Elephas maximus indicus: one gene and its partner. The protein of the gene in region 1 binds, or shares a complex with, the protein of each later gene. Links are inferred from orthologs where the notes say so. Each region holds a gene or a part of one and is shown on either strand. Other genes may lie near its edges.

Evidence for each region.
Region 2: ZC3H13 (region 1) and RBM15 share a complex: the UniProt entries of both Homo sapiens proteins name them as parts of the WMM complex. The link is inferred for Elephas maximus indicus from reciprocal best matches to the Homo sapiens genes ZC3H13 and RBM15.

What each region holds. Positions count from the first base shown.
Region 1 is NC_064832.1:33,684,232-33,694,115, reverse strand, and holds the start of ZC3H13 (zinc finger CCCH domain-containing protein 13), read right to left. Parts: upstream 3,737-9,884; 5' UTR 3,661-3,736; exon of another isoform or gene 3,372-3,660; intron 1-3,371. Other genes in the region: carboxypeptidase B2-like, read right to left, coding at 4,898-5,082. UniProt on the Homo sapiens protein: Associated component of the WMM complex, a complex that mediates N6-methyladenosine (m6A) methylation of RNAs, a modification that plays a role in the efficiency of mRNA splicing and RNA processing.
Region 2 is NC_064821.1:170,958,355-170,968,392, forward strand, and holds the start of RBM15 (RNA-binding protein 15), read right to left. Parts: upstream 4,197-10,038; 5' UTR 3,178-4,196; coding exon 321-3,177; intron 1-320. UniProt on the Homo sapiens protein: RNA-binding protein that acts as a key regulator of N6-methyladenosine (m6A) methylation of RNAs, thereby regulating different processes, such as hematopoietic cell homeostasis, alternative splicing of mRNAs and X chromosome inactivation mediated by Xist RNA.

The DNA of each region.
Region 1 (9,884 bases):
GAGAGCAGTGGGATCCAGACCCCAAACTCACATAAAAAGACCAGGCTAATGGTCTGACTACGACAAGAAGGACCCCAGTGGTCATGGCCCCCAGACCTTCTGTTGGCCCAGGACAGGAACCATTCCCAAAGCCAACTCTTCCGACATGGATTGGACTGGACAGTGGGTTGGAGAGGGATGCTAATGAGGAGTGAGCTTCTTGGATCAGGTGGATGCTTGAGACTGTGTTAGCAACTCCTGCCTGGAGGGGAGATAAAAGGGTAGAGGGGGTTAGAAGCTGGCAAAACGGACACGAAAAGAAAGAGTGGATGGAGAGAGCGGGATGTCCCATTAGGGGGAGAGTGGAGAGTAATTGGGAGTATGTAGCAAGGTGTATATAAGTTTTTGTGTGAGAGACTGACTTGGTTTGTAAACTTTCACTTAAAGCGCAATAAAAGTTATGAAAAAAAATTTAGGTTCACAAAGGAAGATAACTATCACAAAAGAATAAAAAGTAAATGGGACTGAGGAAAAAAAATTTTTAGTTAATATCTGAACAGCCTTTGATAAGTAAATATTTCAAAGTATATGGGAAAAGTTAAAAACAATACAACAAAGTAAAAAAAATTAATGCTGAAGTCTTCCCTATCACACAGATTATAAATTAAGGTTACAACAAAAATTTACTAATTTAGTTAACTCTTCTTTAATGTTGTTCTCCATTTTTGTTTTCAAATAAATTGCTCTGCCCGTTGTTCTTTTGTTTAAGTTACCCTTACACTATCACATCATCATTTCTTTCCCAAACAGCAGCACTGTAAGAGCCAGAATAAGACTGGTGAAAGTCCATTTAGTCATTTTTCTATTTTTCCTTGCAGATATATAAATATCTGAAATTTTCCTTATCACTTTTAAATTTAAAAAGAAAAAGAATAACTGGAAATAAAGCTTGAATCTCCTGAAGGCACAGGAAAAGGGAGTCTTAATAAATGGGAAATTACATTATCACAATCTATTCAAAGCTGCACACTATAAATATGGCTGAAAAAGTTGAAAAATACAGGGTCCTCTTCTCTGAATAATTAATTAAACCTGAAGCCTAATGGCTAAAATCTTGTCAGTAAAATATGTATCAGTTCTAGTATCTTCACTGGATCCTTCTGAGGTCTCATCTTCTGTAGTGTAAATGAAAGCATAACTCTTTTTAATCTGGATGATCTTCTATTACTTATACAGCAGCAGCGTAATACCAGGAAACTGTCAAATAATTACATAACTAAAACTATATAAATGTATTAATTAGTAGAATAAATCCCTACCCATTGAATTTCTAAGATTTAAAGGGTTATATTAAAAAATAAAACTTTCCCCACATTCATACTTCATGTTTTAAAAGAAAAAATAGCTGTTTATTTGATGCATACTTTTGAAGAATTTATTAAAAAGAACTTTCTCAAACACCCTTCCAGGTTGCTTACCTGTAGACAGAGTAAATCTATTCTTAACTGATCGTGCAACAGAACTGGCACAACTAAGCTGACTACACAGGTATGAGCAAGGCAATACTGCAGCACTGTGCAGAAAATAACTTGTTAAAAAGATTGTGTGTGCACAAAGAACACCCCATCCTGGGAACCACTATGAAGTGACGTAAACAGAACCGCAACACACAGAGCTACAAGAGGAGAAGAGAAGACAGGGTTACATGAACACCAGTTAATACCTCAGCCACTACAAAGTACCTGCTAAAATGCCTCCAACTCTGTATGAGCTGTGGGTTGCGAGTGGGGAATACGGGAAAGACTAACGTCCACTGAAAACCAATTCTCCAAATGGAAGTTAAACAATTTTGCTTTCCCTATGTAAACACCAATGCATATTATAATATAAACTAATACAGATGATTCATTAAAATTTTAATAATTTGGTATAAAAAAGTTAACATAGCATCCACTTGCTGTCTCTTAATATTTTTAATCTGTACTACAGATATGAAAATAAGATGTGCACACATCCTAAAATGTACAATGTGCAATTAGAATTACCAATAACTAGGACTTCAGTAAAACCAAACCACTTGTCATGGAGTCGATTCGGACTCACAGCGACCCTGTCAGAGGCATAGACTTCATAAAACTGTATCCTACCAGACGGACACAGTGAAATTTTTAGTTTCATGATGCAACTATTTTTACACACACAAACTGACATATACCTCCATCAATCTTCTTACTATCTCTCTGAAACTGTCATCTATTATAATCTAAGTATTTCATTAATAACTTCAAAATCAATAGCTCTCCAAAACATTATTGTTTGGACAGTAAAGCCCATGACATCAAGTATTACAGAACTAAAAACACCCAGAAACTGGACCATGCTAACTGGCACCATGCACACAGGGATGGCGCTGCATAAGCATCGGGATTTGCCGCAACAGTATCACGAACTCTGAAAACGCGAGGCGTGAAGACCTCTTCCAAACTTTCTAAATTCCCTCTTTACAAATGCAAAAACCTTAAGAGACTCTAGCCCATAATTTTCAAAGTAGTTCAAATTACCTGGAAACCTTCTAATATAACCGAATAGATTAACACACTACCTTCCACACGCAAAATCCTACCAACATCATTCAAGTAATAGCAACTCCGAATTTGTCAGCCATTTAAATTATATTAACCTATTTAAAAAGAGCGGGGCACTGGTGGCGCAGTGGTTAAGCGTTCGGCTGCTAAGCGAAAGGTCGGCAGTTCCAATCCACCAGCCCCTCCCTGGAAACCCTATGGGGGAGTTCTACTCTGTCATACAGGGTCCCTATGAGTCGGAATCGACTCAAAGGTAACAGGTTTGTTTGCGTTTGTATTTAGAAAGAGGTAATGCTAAACATAAGGTCCCGTCCTTTCATTCTACCTCTCTTTCAATTTGTTTCCCCCGCATATAACTGCCAAGACTAGCACTCCTCAACTCCCAGGCCCTAACTCGGTTTATCACTGCCAGTAAATACAGAACACCAAAAATAACCAAAAGATCCCTTTACCGATTACAGGTCTGGAATGCCCAAAGAAAAAACTCCGAAATCTAAGACCTTATTCCGGCACCCCTCCATTGCATACAAACGCGAATTCTGCTCAAGGGTTCCCGTGCCCACCTCAAATGTCAGTCACAGTCTTTTGCCTGAGTCGACCTGTCCCCTAGACAGACTCGCCACAATCAGAGCGAGGGAGACAAACGAGGCCTGAGCACAGGGAGTGACTGAAGATTCAGGGGCAGGATGCTCAAGGGGAGCACGAAATACCAGTGTGACCCAAGTGGGCATGGTGGGCGACTCCGGGCCTCCCCAGCTCGCCCAACGCCTTTCCTCAAATACCCACACGAAGTCACAGAACCCTTACCTCCACCCCCAGCTCTCCTCGCAAACGCAGACCCGAGGCACCCACACTGCCGCTGCTCGCAGGAGCGGGGAAGGAGACCTTCCGCCCCGCGCCTTGGCCCCGGGAGGACCACAAGGAGGAGGTGCGCGCGCGGCTCCCGGAAACCGCTCCTCGGAGGCTCACGGGGCCCCGGGGAGACTGAGAAACAGAACCCGCCTGCCGCTTCGCCAGGGTCCGGCGAGAACGGGGCGTGGGAAGAAAAAGAAGGAAGAGAAAATGGACAGTAAAAAAAACTCCAAAAAAAAACTACCAGGCCGCTAGGGCGATCGACTCAAAAAGCCGCCGGAAGTCAGGAGACCGTCCTGTTCCTCTGTAAACGAGCCAGCTTCCGGCCGCCAGGTTAGTCGTCAGAGCGCAGACCCCGCCCCTTTCCTCGTACGTTGCGTCGACGCTGAGGAGCGAGAGTATTAGCGAGAGATCAACTCCTGAATATGTTCTTTGTGGAAGGAAACTTGGACTCGCGGGGGACTTTTTTGATTCCCAATTAAAAGTGAACTTAAGAGAATTTCCCCGTTCATTACATAATTTCTTACAATAAACAACTATTTTAGGTGTGCAAAATGCTACGTGTATTGAAAGTAACTACAGCCATTCATTTGTTCAAGAATGCTTATTGAGACTCTGAGCTGGACCAGACCTGGCGAATGTCCTATTTTTGAACCCGTCTCCTTTGTAGCCCATCGCCTATTATTGTGGAGCAAACGGAATGCAGGGTTATGTTTTTAAAGGCGCAAACAAGTTTACTGAAAATGTGAAACAAAAATCTTTCATATACTCCCGACGGTCTTTCCTTTTGTTGCTTAGGGTCTCAAAGCTTTAACCAATGATTTGTATGATACAATTTATTAAAATTGTTTGGTTAGTGAAACATCCTGAATCAAAGTAAAAAAAAAAAAATTAAAATCAGTACCTTTGAATTGTGGTGTGGGCGAAGAATATTGAATATACCAAATCTGTCTTGGAAGAAGTGCAGCCAGAATGCTCCTTAGAGGCAAAGATAGCGAGACTGCGTCTTACACACTTTGGACGTGTTGTCAGGAGGGATCAGTCCCTGTAGAAGGCCATCATGCTTGGCAAAGTACAGGGTCAGAGGAAAAGAGGAAGACCCTCAACAAGGTTGATTGACACAGTGGCTGCAACAATGAGCTCAAGCATAACAATGATTGTAAGGATGGCTTAGGACAGGGCAGTGCTTCGTTCTGTTGTGCACAGGATAGCTGTGAGTTGGAAGCGACTCAATGGCACCTAACAACAACAACAACACCTAGCCCCTTACAATTTAAAAAAAAAAAAAAAAAGTGAAAAGAAATGTGAACTCTTGTCTTATTTGCAAGGTGGCATTTATTTTATTCTTTGACAAAGCCAAGAAATGGGAAAATCTCGTTACAAAACTGTTGATAAAACTTAAAAAGAAGCTGGGACAATTATTTGGTCTTGCTGGAATCAATAAATTAAAATATGGGAGCAGAGTGATAAAATCAAGGGCATTAAACATTCCTGATGACATGCCAGACTATTTTAGAGACAGCCGCGAGAGCCTCTTTACAAGTTGGCTTGATGAGACGTTCAGGCAGCAAGAATCCAAATTCGCCTTTATCTCGAAGTTCAATTGTAAACGAGTATTTGGTGCCCAAGTCATAAATCCAGTCATCTGAACCTCCAGGAGCTAAATCTACAAGAAGAAATTGCTTTTTAAAAACATATTTTAAGTTAGTTAACAAAATTTGTTTTCCTAAAACTGGAAAAAGCTTTACTTGTGTTCGATTATTAAGTAACCTATGTTACTTGTAGGAAATGGAGATTGAAGGGGAAAAAAGGTTAAGGAAGAAAGTAAAAATCACCCATTATATTACCAAACCAAACCCATAAGGACCCTAAAGGACAGAGTATAATTGCCCCGTGGGGTTTCCGAAGCTGAAATCTTTAGGGAAGCTGACTGCCACATCTTTCACCCTAAGAGCAGCTGGTGGGTTCTAATTGCCTACCTTTCACTTAGCAGCCTAATGCTTAAGCACTGCACCAACAAGGCTCCTTATAACCCTACCAAGGAGCGACTAAGAAGGAGAAAGGAAAAAAAAAAAAAACACATTGCCGTGGAGTCAATTCTGAAGCATGGCAACCCCATGAGTAGAACTGTTCACGGCGTATTCTTGGCTATAGTCTCTAGGGAAGCAAATGCACAAGACTTTCTTCCATGACCCTGTTGCATGGGTTCCAACCCCCAACCTTCAGGGCAGTAGGTGATTGCAAACTGGCTGGGCCACCCAGCAACTTCTAAGGAATGATAATCACCATCAATGTTTTAGCACGTTATCTTTAATTTTTTAGTGCAGACATTCACATGTTTATTTTTTTCCATACATAAATGGATCACACCATGTATGCTGCCTTGTAACATTTCTAAATATAACCTATCATGACCAGCTTTACATATTAATTAGTTCAAATCTGTATTATTATTTTTAATGATTGCATAACATTGCATGATAAAACTGGATATAATTGATTTAAATAATTATTAATTTATTTGAGGGCATTTGGATTTTTTCCAATTATTAATTACCACAAAGAGTTTTATAATTAATACCCTTATTCATACATAATTTCTTCTTTATTTCTTTACAATATTCTTCTCTAGAAATACAATTACTAGTCTAAGGATATACACTTTTTATAATTATTATGCATATCTTCAAATAGCCTTAAAAGAATTGAACAAATTTATACCCCCACTAGCCTGGTCTGAATAGGCTCACTTCCCCTCCCACATCATCCATGAGAATTATGAATTTCTGGCAATTTGATGGGTGAAAAATATTATCAAATTCTCTTAGTTTCTGTTTCTTTCATTACCAGTGAGCTGAATATTTTAGATTGGAGGAAGACTAGAAACCTGCATTATGCAGATGACACAACCTTACTTGCTGAAAGTGAAGAGGACTTGAAGCACTGACTGATGAAGATCAAAGACTACAGCTTTCAGTATGGATTACACCTCAACATGAAGAAAATAAAAATGCTCACAACTGGAGCAATAAGCAACATCATGATACATGGGAAAAGACTGAATTCGTCAAGGATTTCATTATACTTGGATCCACAGCCAACATCCATGGAAATAGCCATCAAGAAATGAAAGGACATATGGCCAAATCTACTGCAAAAAATAATAATAGTAATAAATTTTTTTTTTTTTTTTTTACTGCAAAAGACCTCTTTAAAAGTGTTAAAAAGCAAAGATATCACTTTTAGGACTAAGGTGCACCTCACCCAAGCCATTGTGTTTTCAATTGCCTTATATGCATGTGAAAGTTGGATGATGAATAAGGAAGACTAAAGAATTAATCCCTTTGAATTATGGTGTTGGCAAAGAATACTAAATATACCAAGGACTGCCAGAACAATGAACAAATCTGTCTTGGAAAAAGCTTAGCCAGGATGCTCCCTTAGAAGTGATGGTGAGACTTCGTCTCATGTACTTTGGACATGTTACTGGGAAGAACCGGTCCCTGGAGAAGGACATCATGCTTGGTAAAGTACAAGGTCAGTGAAAAAGTGAAAAACCCTGAAGAAGATGGATTGACACAGTGGCTGCAATGATGGGCTCAAGCACAGCAACAATTGTGAGGATGGTGCAGGACCAGGCAGTATTTTGTTTTGTTGTACATAGGGCTGCTATGAGTTGGAACCAACTCAACAGCACCTAACAACAACATAGATTTTGTGTGTGTGTGTGTGCGTGTGTGTGTGTGTGTATGCACACATATACATTTAACAATGAATCCATATGTATACACATATATGTGTGTATAGAAAACCCTGGTGGCATAGGTCTTAATCACTATGGCTGCTAACCAAAACGTCAGCGTTTCGAATCCACTAGGTGCTCCTTGGAAACCTCGTGGGGCAGTTCTACTCTGTCCTATAAGATTGCTATGAGTCAGAATCAACTCAACAGCAGTGGGTTTGGGTTTTTTGGGGGGTGTGTATATACACGTATATATGTGTGTGTACATATATGAATGCATATATATGTATTTTCCTATATGTATTTTTTTTTATGTTTATATATGTATACATATAAAGGAGACCTGCTGGTGCAGTGCTTAAGAGCTTGTCTGCTAGCAAAACGCCTGTAGTTCGAATCTACCAGCCACTCCTTGGAAACCCTATGGGGCAGTTCTATTCTGTCCTGTAGGGTCACTATGAGTCAGTATCGAATGGATGGCAATGGGCTAAATGTATAAAACCAACAAAACCAAGCCTGTTGCTGTGGAGTCAATTCAGAGTCACAGCGACCCCATAGGACAGAGTAGAACTGCACCATAGGTTTTCCAAAGGAACAGCTGGTGGCTTTGGACTGCCAGCCTTAACTTAACTTTCTCTCTCAATTGGCTCTGAAGGAAGGTCTTTTGCCATCAATCCTCCCTTGGATCTAGGAGTTTCTCAGCCCAGGGACCCCAGGTCCAAAGAACGTGGTCTTCTCCTGGCTTTTTTTTTTTTCCTTGATGAAATGAGGTCCCTCTCCTCTTTGTCTGATTCTCTTTTATGTCTCAAAAGAGAATGACTCGATTTTCCATTTGTCTAGCTCTCCTGTCCCCTCCTGCCTTTTCATCCTTGCCCCTGGGCAGGTGTGCCCATTTAGTCTTGTATACAAGGTGGAACTACAGGTATTACTGTTTGTTTTATGGGCCTGTCTAATCTTTGGCTGAAGGGTGAACCTCAGGAGTGACTTTTAAAAGCTCAAACCTAGGTGGGGGGGCCAAGACGGCTGCCTAGGTAGACGCTATCTCGGATCCCTCTTGCAACAAAGACTCTGAAAAACAAGTGAATCGATCACATACATGACAATATATGAACCCTGAACAACAAACACAGATTTAAAGAGTTGACCTGAGTGACAGAGACGGAGAACGAACAACTACGGGGAAGCAGAGACCGTTTTCGGAGCCTGGAGCCAGCGTCCCAGTCAGGTAACCTTGGCGCCAGGCTTAGGACTGGGCGCAGGGGAGCTGAACACAACATCTTATGACGGCGCAAACATGGGGCGCAGCCCTAGCCCCCTGAACTGACCCCAGGAAGGGGCCCAGCCAGTCCACGTGTGCGGCTTGGGGACGTGGCTGGTGGGAGGAGAAGTCCCTGGGAGGCAGTGACTGGTTTTGGAGCCGGGAGTGCAGCATCCCAGCCAGGGAACCTTGGCGCCGGACGTTGGACAGGGACCAGGGGAGCTGCGCACAGCATCTGGTCAAGGCACAAACATGGGGTGCAGCCCTACTCCCCTGAACTAACCCCGGGAGGGGGCCCAGCCGGTCCGCCGGGGCGGCGCAGCGACACGGCTGGCGGGACGAGAAGTCCCCGGGAGCCAGCGACTGATTTTGGAGCCGGGAGTGCAGTGTCCCAGCAGGGGAACCTTGACGCTGGGCTTTGGACTGGCAGTAGAGGATCTGACCGCGGCTTCAGCAGGCCAGACCCTCGGGGGCAATCTCCACACAGCCAGCACACATAGGTGACACGCCCCTTGGGAATCTCACATAAAATAGTCATCCCAAGCAAGATAAGCAACTTTGGCTATATTCCGGGGTGCTACTCTCTCCTGTTTTTCTGACCCTCCCCTCCCCTTCCCAGATGGCTTCATTAACATTGGAACTTCCTGAGCCAGAGGGAGAACGGCTCCGGCTCTGCGGCTTTGCTATTTCCTTTTTTTTTTTTTTTTTTTTGGTCTTTCCTAACCCATTCTTCCGGCCTGAGAGAAGCAACCACAAAAAACCCAGGGACCAAAAATCCTTCCCTAATTGGACTAAAAACACAGAACCAGCTCCAGCCAAGCATATAAGATCCATATCTCGGGTTTTCATCCCTACAGGCAACAAGGTGGCTATTATAATGCAAAGGCAGTTCTGATAGGGATCTGACGGCATTTTTTTTTAGCGGATTTAATGGAAAAACAAGTTTCCCAGGTCTGATATCTCTGCTTATTCAACAGAGCACTAACTGACACACAACAGGGAACTGAGGGCGGAAGCTCCCCCCAGACCACCTAGCCTCTTGCCTTAGGGGTCTAAGGAGGGTGACACCTACCAATCTGTAGAGGTACTTGCATTGGGGGCTTAAGGTACAGCTGCAGAGCCCTCCCACCAAGGTGCTCTAGGAATAGAGACACAGCTACCTCACTGACACTTGGGCGAAGCCTGTCAGCATCCTGCCCCCCCTGGAGTGTGAACCCCAGCTGCTAGTAGAATCTGGTGCACACAACTAACACCACTACTTCTCGAGGTGGATAGGTGTTAGGGTGCAGCACACACTTGATGACCCAAAATCAGATTCTACTCAAGAATAGTGAATACACTCAGGCATAAATATCTGGCAACAGCCCAAACCAGGTGGTAATAGCTCATAAGTAAGTCAAGGGCTACAACAAAAAAGAGAGCACAATCTAGTAGCCCATCCACGTATATTGAAAGAAAACAAAACAAG
Region 2 (10,038 bases), on another chromosome or scaffold:
TTGTAATTTTGAGAATTTTTTAAGCTCGAGGTTAAAAAAAAAAAAAAAACTGAAGAAAAAAGTGGAAAAAATTTACTCTTAACAGTGGAAACTCTTAATTAAAGCAAGTCCATCTGCCTGCTACCTTCAGGGCATTCCTTCCACTTAATAGCTAAACTGTCCTGACTTCTATCTTAAAGAGGTCTGTAAAAGTATAAAAAAGAAAAAGCTATAACTAAACAACTAAAAAGAAAATCGCATCTGATGCTGTATCCCACTACACATATCACAAAACATGTCAAAGCAGTAAATACAAGTTATACATGGAGTTTAGGACGCACCACGGACAATGATCATGACCAGGTAATCTTCTTCAGATTTGGCCAGTGCCTTGGCAGGGGAATCCAGGAACTGCTGGGAGAACTCACAGGGTGGGAAGGCATGAAGAACCCCGGTGTTCTCCTTGTCTTTATTGCCCCCCACAGGGAGGCTGATCACCCCAGCAGCCTGCTTTTGCTTTAAATAGGACACAAGGTTCCTAAGCGGCCTCTGAGTAGAGGTGGCAGTGTCCGATGTGGCTGAGGAGGACCGGCTGTCAGAACTTCCAGGCACAGCCAGAAGAATGGCATAACCATTGGGCCCTGCCACTTTGATGCGTCGAGTTACTTCATCCAACTTGGGCTGGTCCAAACGGAGACGCTGAGTGATCTTCAGCTGGGCCACTTTGCCTCCAGTTGTGCCCTCCACCAGAAGACTACTAGCCACTTGGAGGTCACCCTGCAACAGATGCATGTTGGAAGGAAAGTTGCTGTTCTTCAGTAGAAGCATGCCCTGCCAGGCCAAGCAGAGTTTGGGAGAGGCTGCTGCTGCAGGGGCTGTACCGCCATCCTGTTTCTGGGAAGGGGACTTCAGCTTCAATGAAGTAGTGCTGGTGCTAGGCACACTCCCATCAGAACGGTCTTCTTTTTTCAGAGGGCTTTTTCCCTCAGTGGGAACAGCTGTCCGGTGCTTTCTATCTCGTTCCGCTGATGCAGAGTTTTTACGGTCTCGCTTGTCACCTTGGTTCTTCTCCAAACTACCTCGTCTGTCTCTGATTGGAGAGGGCTTTTCCAAGAGAAGGCGGGAAGATCGATCATTGTCACTGTTGTAGCGATCCCGGCTACTGCTCAACTCTGGACTTCGGTCAGGAGAAGGAGCGCAGTGACGTTTTCGTGGACGGTCACTCTCAGGGGACCTATCCAGATGGCGTCCCCCACTCTCTTCAGGCAGCCTTCGCTTCCTAGGCTGCTCTCTGCTGCTGGGAAGATCTCTCTCACCTCTGTCTCGATCCAAGGACCAGCCATCCCGCCTCCGATCCAGGCTATCCAGTGGCTCATAAGCAGGTACAGCAGCAGCTGCAGTCCGTGTGCTGCGTTCTCGGACTGGGGGTGGAGGTGGGACCCAATCAGGGTCTGGATAAAGGTCCCTATCACGATCTCTGTATAGTAAGGGTGGTGTCCTATCCCGAGCACCCCTCAAAGGGTCAGGCGCCCGATGTCCAAAAGCATCTGTCACCAATTCATAATGAGTCAGAGGCAGGGGCTGCAGATACTGCTGCTGGTAACGATGCTCTGTGTCTGCAAAGTCTACTCTAAGGCGACGATCTGGGCCACCAAGGGGGAAGCCCCGCATATGAGTCCAAGCAGCATGAGCTGCATCTAGGCTTTCATACTGGATATATGCCCAGCTGTCCCCTTTGCGGTAGTCTATGGTGCGTATGGTGCCAAATCGGTCAAACTCTCGTGCCAGGGCAGCAAGAGGCACCCAAGGTCCCAGGCCACCTACCCAGAGGCGGGTAGTGGGTGTAGCTTTACCATAACCAATTTTGATAGGATTCCGAATTATAATTTTGCCAGACATTGCTAGTTTGGCTCTGTGAGACATGTCCAGATTCTCAAATTTGAGAAAACCATAGGTACTGGTTTGACCACGAGAAGGGCGTTTGATGTCTACTTCTGTGATGACTCCAAAGCGATCAAAAGCCCTTCTTAAGTCACTCTCTGTCACAGTGATGTCTAGGTTGCCCAAGAAAAGCGTCCGGTTAGCTCGCTGATCATCCTCAGGTGAAATCTCATCCACTTCTCTGAAAGGGGCAGCCCCGGTTCCAGCTCCCACCCTTGGCTCAAGACTATATGCTGGGCGCACTCGCTCATAGAACGGATAATCTCGGTCTCTCTCCAACTCTCGGGGCAACGGTGGCGGAGGTGGAGGGGGCAGACGGCCAAGAGCCAACTGCTGCAACCGGTAGTCTCTGTATCCCAAGGCAGCGCCACCAGGAGAAAGTGACCTTTGGCCTCCACCTCCTCCAGGGGGGTGCCGGTGACCACCTACAGAGGACCCGACCACGCTGGCCGATGGAGGATAAGAATCTTTGTCTAAAGGGGAGCGGCTGCGGCGCCGGCTCACATACACAGCCTCTATCTTCAGAGGCCGGTCATAGAGCACAAGGCGGCCTCTGGCATGCTTGGCCGCCCGCGCGTCCTCCGGCCGCCGGAAGTTCACAAAGGCTACCCGCTCATCCCCGCTGCCAGAACCCGAGAGGTGACTGATTTTGACACTCACATCACCGAAGCGTTTGAATTCGTGAAACAGTCCGTCCTCCACCGCTTCGTCACTCAGCTGGGACCCCAACTCGCTTATCTTTAGTGTCTTGTATTCCCCGCCGTCTCCGCCGCCAGGAGCTGAGGAGGCGGCCCCTGAGGAACGTGACTCCCCGCCTCCACCCCGGGAGCTGCTTCGCGACTCGCCCCCGCCCGAGGAATTTTTGGTGCTTGGGGAGCTATAACTATGCAGGCGGCTACTGGAGGTGCCCCCACCAGTGTCATACTCGCGGCTGCCACCTCGACTGCTGGACTTGTCCAGGTGAAGGCTCCGCCGCGACCCACCGCCGCTCTCGGTCTTTCCGCTGCTGCTCCCATTGCTACCACCAGAGCCACCTAACTTCTTGCCGCGCTCCCCACGGGAAGTCGAGTCCTCACCACCACGGGAGCGTTTGGCCTTGACTGGCGAGCGCTCTTTTCCCTTCATTGTTGCGGGTCGTCGGAGGTCTTCTCCGCGGAGCTGATTAACCCGCCGCCCCGCGCTCGTTTCACACAGCGGAACCGCACGCCGCCATCTTGGACTCCGCCGCGGCAAAGGCTCCCGCCCCGCAGTCTTCATTGGTCAATTAGATCCTCTCTTCTACAGTCTCATTGGAAAGACTATTTGTCTGTCTTTACATCTCCCGGCGCTCCGGGAAGGCGCCCGCCCAACCACTGTTATTGGGCTCCCAACGCCCTAGTCAGAGTACCTCATTGGTTGTATTCCTTGTCTATCTTAACGGTTCCTCGCGCCAGGCTGTAGCTCCGCCCCTCGCACCCTACGGTCACCTGACCCAAAGTCTGGCGGCGTTGATTGGACAAAAAGTCTGCCTTGTAACGGTACTTCTTGAGCGGCGAAAGCAGCGATCCCACCTCCTCATCCCTTTCATTGGTTTATGATCCTGTCCTTTAACCCACTAGTTGGGAATACGGCCATCGGTTCGGGCGATTTTTCCTCTGAGAGGTAGGCTCACAACGATCTCGCGAGAGAGCTCCCTGTTTCGACCCTCTTCTTCCAACTCCTTCGGCGGCTGACAGAAGTTTAAATCTGATTGGATGTTGTCGAGGAAGTTGATAGGCTGAAATAACTGTCCGTCACCCTCTTAAAGGGGTAGGCCCATATACTGAGGCGGCTGACTGAAGGTGAAAGCCTAGAACCCGCGCTTGCTGGGAGACGTCACTTAGATATCGCGAGATGGTGACCACGAGCCCGCCCCGCCTCCTCGTGCTTTCGGCGTTCTCCCCTCAAACATCTGTTCGGTGCCGAGGCGTACTTGGCGGCACTGCGGCCCTTGGAACTCGAAACTTCTGGGCTCCCCACTGTCCTACCTGTGCCAGACGAGGGACTGGGCAGGCCCTCCGGCTGTCGGGTACCACGCGTGCCTCAGGAAACCATCTCGAGGCGCCCGGCAGGCACCATCTTAAGTCCCTCTGGCCCTACGTGAAGAGCCTGAAAAGGCTCCTCCCCCCTGTGCGCGAGAAGGCGCCGCCCGCGGTCACTGGGGTCCCCGGGGCCCGCCCGGCCCGGGAGTTTACAGTTCACAAAAGTGCCGGGTCGGCCCCGGACGGTCTTCTGATCGGCGCGGGTTCTCGAGGTCCCGCACTTATGGAGCAACGCCGGGCTCTTCTTGGCGCTCCTCGTGTCTGCCCAAGTACCCCGGGTAACCGGGGGAAGTGACCGACGCTCCCAGGCCCACGGTCCGCAGGCGTGGCCGGAACTGTGGGGCCACCGCAGACGTGTCTTTAGGCTTCCTGTTTTATATTGCAAACCCATGTGGATTTTGTACTCTATAGTGCGTGTATAGCTAATCTTGTTTTTATGACTCTCCCCGTAAAACCATCGAGTGAAATTGACGCTCCGTGCAGATTATGTTTGTTTTTATGTGACTCTCCCCGTAAAATAATCGAGTGAAATTGACGCACCGTGTTTTTTTTTCTGTGACTTCTCGTACCGCCCGGCACTCCTGGTTATTCGATATTATAATCCAGTAGCACAGCCACCTTGCTGGTTCTCTAAATCTCTCTGCCTCTCTCAAACATTGTCTGCATCAAAAGTCAACTTTTATCCTTTCCATAGACCTTTATTGTGTCAGAGGAGCCCTCGCAGCACGATGGTTAAGCGCTGGGCTGATAACCGAAAGGTCGGCGGTTGGAACCCAGCCTCCGCTCCTGGGAGAAAGATAGGGCTATCTGCTTCTGTAAAGCTTACAGCTTTGGGAACTCTCTGTTCTATAGGGTCACTATGAGTCAGCATCCACTCGATGGCAGTGGACTTAAATTGTGTCAGACAATAAGGCACCTGTGCAAGATGCTGGTGTGCCAACAAGATTACAACAGGTACAGCCTCTGTTCCTGCGCTCACCGTCTGGTGAAGCGAGGTAGTGCTGAGTTCACAGAGGTTAGGCTTTCTGTAGTCCTCCCAGGTCTCCGCCAGGCAGAGGTTATGAGGATTCCAGTGTAGATGCCCTCTTCAGCCACATCTCAAGATCCAATCAATCTGTTTAAACATGACATTTTTAAGGTAACTATGATGTTACGAAAATCAAAACCTGAAGCTGAAAATTTAAGATTAGGGACTGCAGCATATTTTGCTCTACCTTAGGTCTCCTCTTTCCAAATAATCTTGAGGAAAGTGAAGATTATATTTTTAATATTATATGTGTGTTATAAATATTTGATTTAATGTCTTGATTATATCAAAGAGACTTGAAGCCCATGTTTAAGTGGATATGTAAAGCATAAAAATACCCAGTAAAATAGTGTGTAGATATCTTCATATTAAAACTAGCTACTAAAAATTTCATAAGGTATAAAACTGTATAGTATGCTACCATTTATGGTTTAAAAACGCACGCACATTGCACATTCATTCATAGAAAATTCCTTGACAAATACACGGAATATTACCAGGATTCCCCTGAGGAGAGAGACTGACTGCAGGTCTGGGATGGGAGAGAAATTTCCCTTTTCATTGTAGACTCTTATCTATTATTTTTCATGCTCTTTCAGTTTAAAAAATAGCAATTCTTTCTAGCTTTCCCTTAAAAAATTATTTTTATGGAAAAAGTAAAAAATATGCAAAGGTAGAATACTATAAAGAACCACATGAACTTAACACCCAATTTCAATAATTGTCAAATCACGTCACACTTGTTTCTTCTGTGCCTTCTTCCCAGCTTCCTCCTCTCCCATTATTTTGTTCCGGGCTTACTCGCTGTATTTCCTGCCCCAGACATAGAATCAGCCATTTCTCCAAAGAGTTCTGGTTCCTTTTTGGGGAAAATGGTATTTAGAGATAAAAATCTCAATGCTAGTGGATTAAAAGAATAAAAAGCAGTGTTTATAAAAGCACAAAATGCTCAAAGAAAAAGATTTACATGGTTAAGAGGTTTTAATCTGTTTCAAGGTTGTATTAATACAACACAAAGGAAACAAGCCATTATCTGATTACTCAATGCAATAACCAGTCCAGTGAAACCAGGCTCCAGAGTGACTACTTTTGGTCAAAACTGACCTGCTTAGTTGACTCACTGGTCAAAGAAAAAGATAAGGACCAAATCAGTATAGTTTCCTCTACAGGAATGAGGGAGAGAAATCAAGGAATACTGCCTTGCTGAACAGGTACCAGGATATGTGGCAATGCCTGTCACTCTGCCAAGTTGGTGGCTTGAAATACGAAGGAGCTGGCAGGGGCAGGAAGCCTTGCCTAAGAGGACTGATACGTTGCCTGAAGCCAAGAGGACTGGTAAATTTAATGGTTAGAAAATGTCTAAATTTCATTACCAGTAACAGCGCCAAAATAGTCTGTGATGTGTGTTCGTGTCCATGATAGAACTGAATATGTTGGATGTGTGCTGTAGTTAAAGTGAGTGATTTACTTTGTTTTCATTTCCCTTGTGTTCCTTAAAGCATGAAGCTGCTTGGTGACATTTTATCAACCTGTGTTTATACATGTGCTTTAGGGAGGGCCGAGAAAGGATAAAAGCGACCCATGGTTTCAGCGCCAGGCTTGGAACTCTTTTTCTGGTGTTGGTGATGGAGTTGTTGAAGTCCAGTCCAAGTTTTCATCTGGTCTCCTTGTGATCAGCGGCCAGGTTTGTGAGGAGAGCTAACCTGGGTGAGGAAGTTCTTTCAGTAGTCATGAAGACAGAGTTAAACTACCAAAAAATTCCCAGAGCACCACAGTAGCATGTTGATCTCTCCTTTCAGTGCCCTGCCAAAACTCAAGAAATAATGTTCAAGAAAAGCTCACAGCCCATTTTGGTGTCAGGGTGGCCCCTTGGAGCTGTACAAGGCCTAGAGAACACAGCCAGGCAGGAGAGCAGCTACCATTAGCTTTCTATGTGAAGTACTTTTTCCATCTCCTTTAAAATCAGTTTCAGCTTTAAAAGGAAAAAGCAAAATAAAAGGCATAAACATGGAAGACTACTGTGCAGTTAAAAAATAGCAGAATGCTTTCAATCAATTATCCTTCTTTCCATTCCCCTCCTTCCTAGTTTTTTTTATTTTTATTTTTTATCTTCAATACACACACAATTATGATTGCTATATGAAATTTATCTTGGAAGCTGAGAGCCCTTTGATTTCCTGGCAAATACAAAAAGGACTGGATCTGGGAATTGAAAAAGAAAATTTTCCACCCACAATAGTAGATTAAATTTTTCTGTTTCATCTCCTTTCATAAAGTGAGTGGTCTCCTGACAGCGAGGTTTATTTTATTTGGTGTACAAGAAAGTATATTTTTTTTACCCACAGGCATATATTAAATCCTTAAATCAGCAAACAATCATTTAGAACCCAGTTTGCATTATCAAGTCACTTCTTTGTGTATTTTTTTTTTTTTATGATTTTTATTGTGCTCTAAGTGAAAGTTCTACTCTGTCCTATAGGGTCACTCGATGGCACTGGGTCTGGGAAGTGAAAGTTTACAAATTAAGTCAGCCTCTCACATAAAAACTTACAGACGGCTTGCTACTTACTCCCAATTACTCTCCCCCTAATAAGGCAGCCAGCTCTCTCCCTCCACTCTTTCTTTTCATGTCCATTTCGCCAACTTCTGACCCCCTCTACCCTCTCATCTCCCCTCCAGGCAGGAGATGCCAACATAGTCTCAAGTGTCCACCTGATTCAAGAAGCTCACTCCTCACCAGCATCCCTTTCCAACCCATTGTCCAGTCCAATCCATGTTTGAAGAGTTGGCTTAGGGAATGGTTCCTGTCCTGGACCAACAGAAGGCCTGGGGGCCATGAGCACCAGGGTCCTTCCAGTCTCAGTTAGACCATTAAGCCTGGATTATGAGAATTTGGGGTCTGCATTCCACTGCTCTCCTGCTCCCTCAAGGGTTCTCTGTTGTGTTTCCTGTCAGAGCAGTCATCGGTTGTAGCCAGGCACCATCTAGCTCTTCTGGTCTCAGGATGATGTAGTCTCTGGTTCATGTGGCCCTTTCTGTCTCTTGGACTCATAATTACCTTGTGTGCTTGGTGTTCTTCATTCTCCTTTGATCCGGGTGGGTTGAGACCAATTGATGCATCTTAGATGGCTGCTTGCTAAGAGATAAGACCCCAGATGCCACTCTCTAAAGTGGGATGCAGAATGTTTTCTTAATAGATTTTACTATGCCAGTTGACTTAGATGTCCCCTGAAATCATGGTCCCCAAACCCCTGCCCCTGCTACACTGGCCTTCGAAGCATTCAGTTTATTCAGGAAACTGCTTTTGGTTTAGTCCAGCTGTGCTGACCTCCCCCTGTATTGTGCATTGTTTTTCACTTCACCTAAAGTAGTTCTTATCTACCAACTAATTAGTGAATACCCTCTCCCACCCTCCCACCCTCCCACCCTCCTCTCGTAACCACAAAAGAATGTTTTCTTCTCAGTTTGAACTATTTCTCAAATACTTACAATAGTGGTCTTATACAATATTTGTCCTTTTGCAACTGACTAATTTCACTTAGCATAATGCCTTCCAGGTTCCTCCACGTTATGAAATGTTTCACAGATTCACCACTGTTCTTTATCGATGTGTAGTAGTCCATTGTGTGAATATACCATAAGTTATTTACCCATTCATCCGTTGATGGGCACCTTGGTTGCTTCCATCTTTTTGCTATTGTAAACAGTGCTGCAGTAAATATGGGTGTGCATATATCTGGTCATGTAAAGGCTCTTATTTAGGGTATATTCCATGGATTGGGATTGCTGGATCGTATGGTAGTTAAGCGCCAAATCAATTTCCAAAGTGGTTGTACCATTTGACATTCCCACCAGCATTGTATAAGTGTTCCAATCTCTCCATACCCTCTCCAACATTTATTATTTTGTGTTTTTTGGATTAATGCCAGCTTTTTGTTGGGGTGAGATGAAATCTCATTGTAATTTTGATCTGCATTTCTCTAATGGCTAATGATCATAAACATTTCCTCATGTATCTGTTAGCTACCTGAATGTCTTCTTTAGTGAAGTGTCTATTCATATCTTTTGCCCATTTTTTAGTTGGGTTATTTGTCTTTTTGTAGTGGAGTTTTTGCAGTATCATGTAGATTTTAGAGATCAGGTGCTGATCAGGAATGCCATAGCTAAAAACTTTTTGCCAGTCTGTAGGTAGTCTTTTTACTCTTTTGGTGAAGTCTTTGGATGAGCATAGCTGTTTGATTTTTAGGAGCTCCCAGTTATCTAGTTTTTCTTCTGCATTCTTAGTAATGTCTTGTATACTGTTTATGCCATGTATTAGGGCTCCTAACATTGTCCCTATTTTTTCTTCCATGATCTTTATCGTTTTAGATTTTATATTTAGGTCTTGGATCCAGTTTGAGCTCATTTCTGTGCATGAAGTGAGGTATGGGTCTTGTTTCATTTTTTTGCAGATGGATATCCAGTTATGCCAGCGCTATTTGTTAAAAAGACTGTTTTTTCCCCATTTAACTGTTTTGGGGCCTTTGTCAAATATCAGCTGCACATATGTGGATGGATTTATGTCTGGATTCTCAATTCTGTTCCATTGGTCTATGTATCTGTTGTTGTACCAGTACCAGGCTGTTTTGACTACTGTGGCGGTATGATAAGTTCTAAAATCAGGTAAAGTAAGGCCTCCCACTTTGTTCTTCTTTTTCAGTAATGCCTTATTTATTGGGGCCCCTTTCGCTTCCATATGAAGTTGGTGATTTGTTTCTCCATCTCATTAAAGAATGTTGTTGGGATTTGTATTGGAATTGCATTAAATGTATAGATCGCTTTTGGTAGAATAGACATTTTTATAATGTTAAGTCTCCCTATCCATGAGCAAGGTACGTTTTTCCACTTACGTAAGTCTCTTTTGGTTTCTTGCAGAAGTGTACTGTAGTTTTTTTTGTATAAGTCTTTTACATTTCTGGTAAGATTCCTAAGTATTTTACCTTCTTGGGGGCTACTGTTTGTGTATTTTTTGACTGCTTTATTCAGATATAA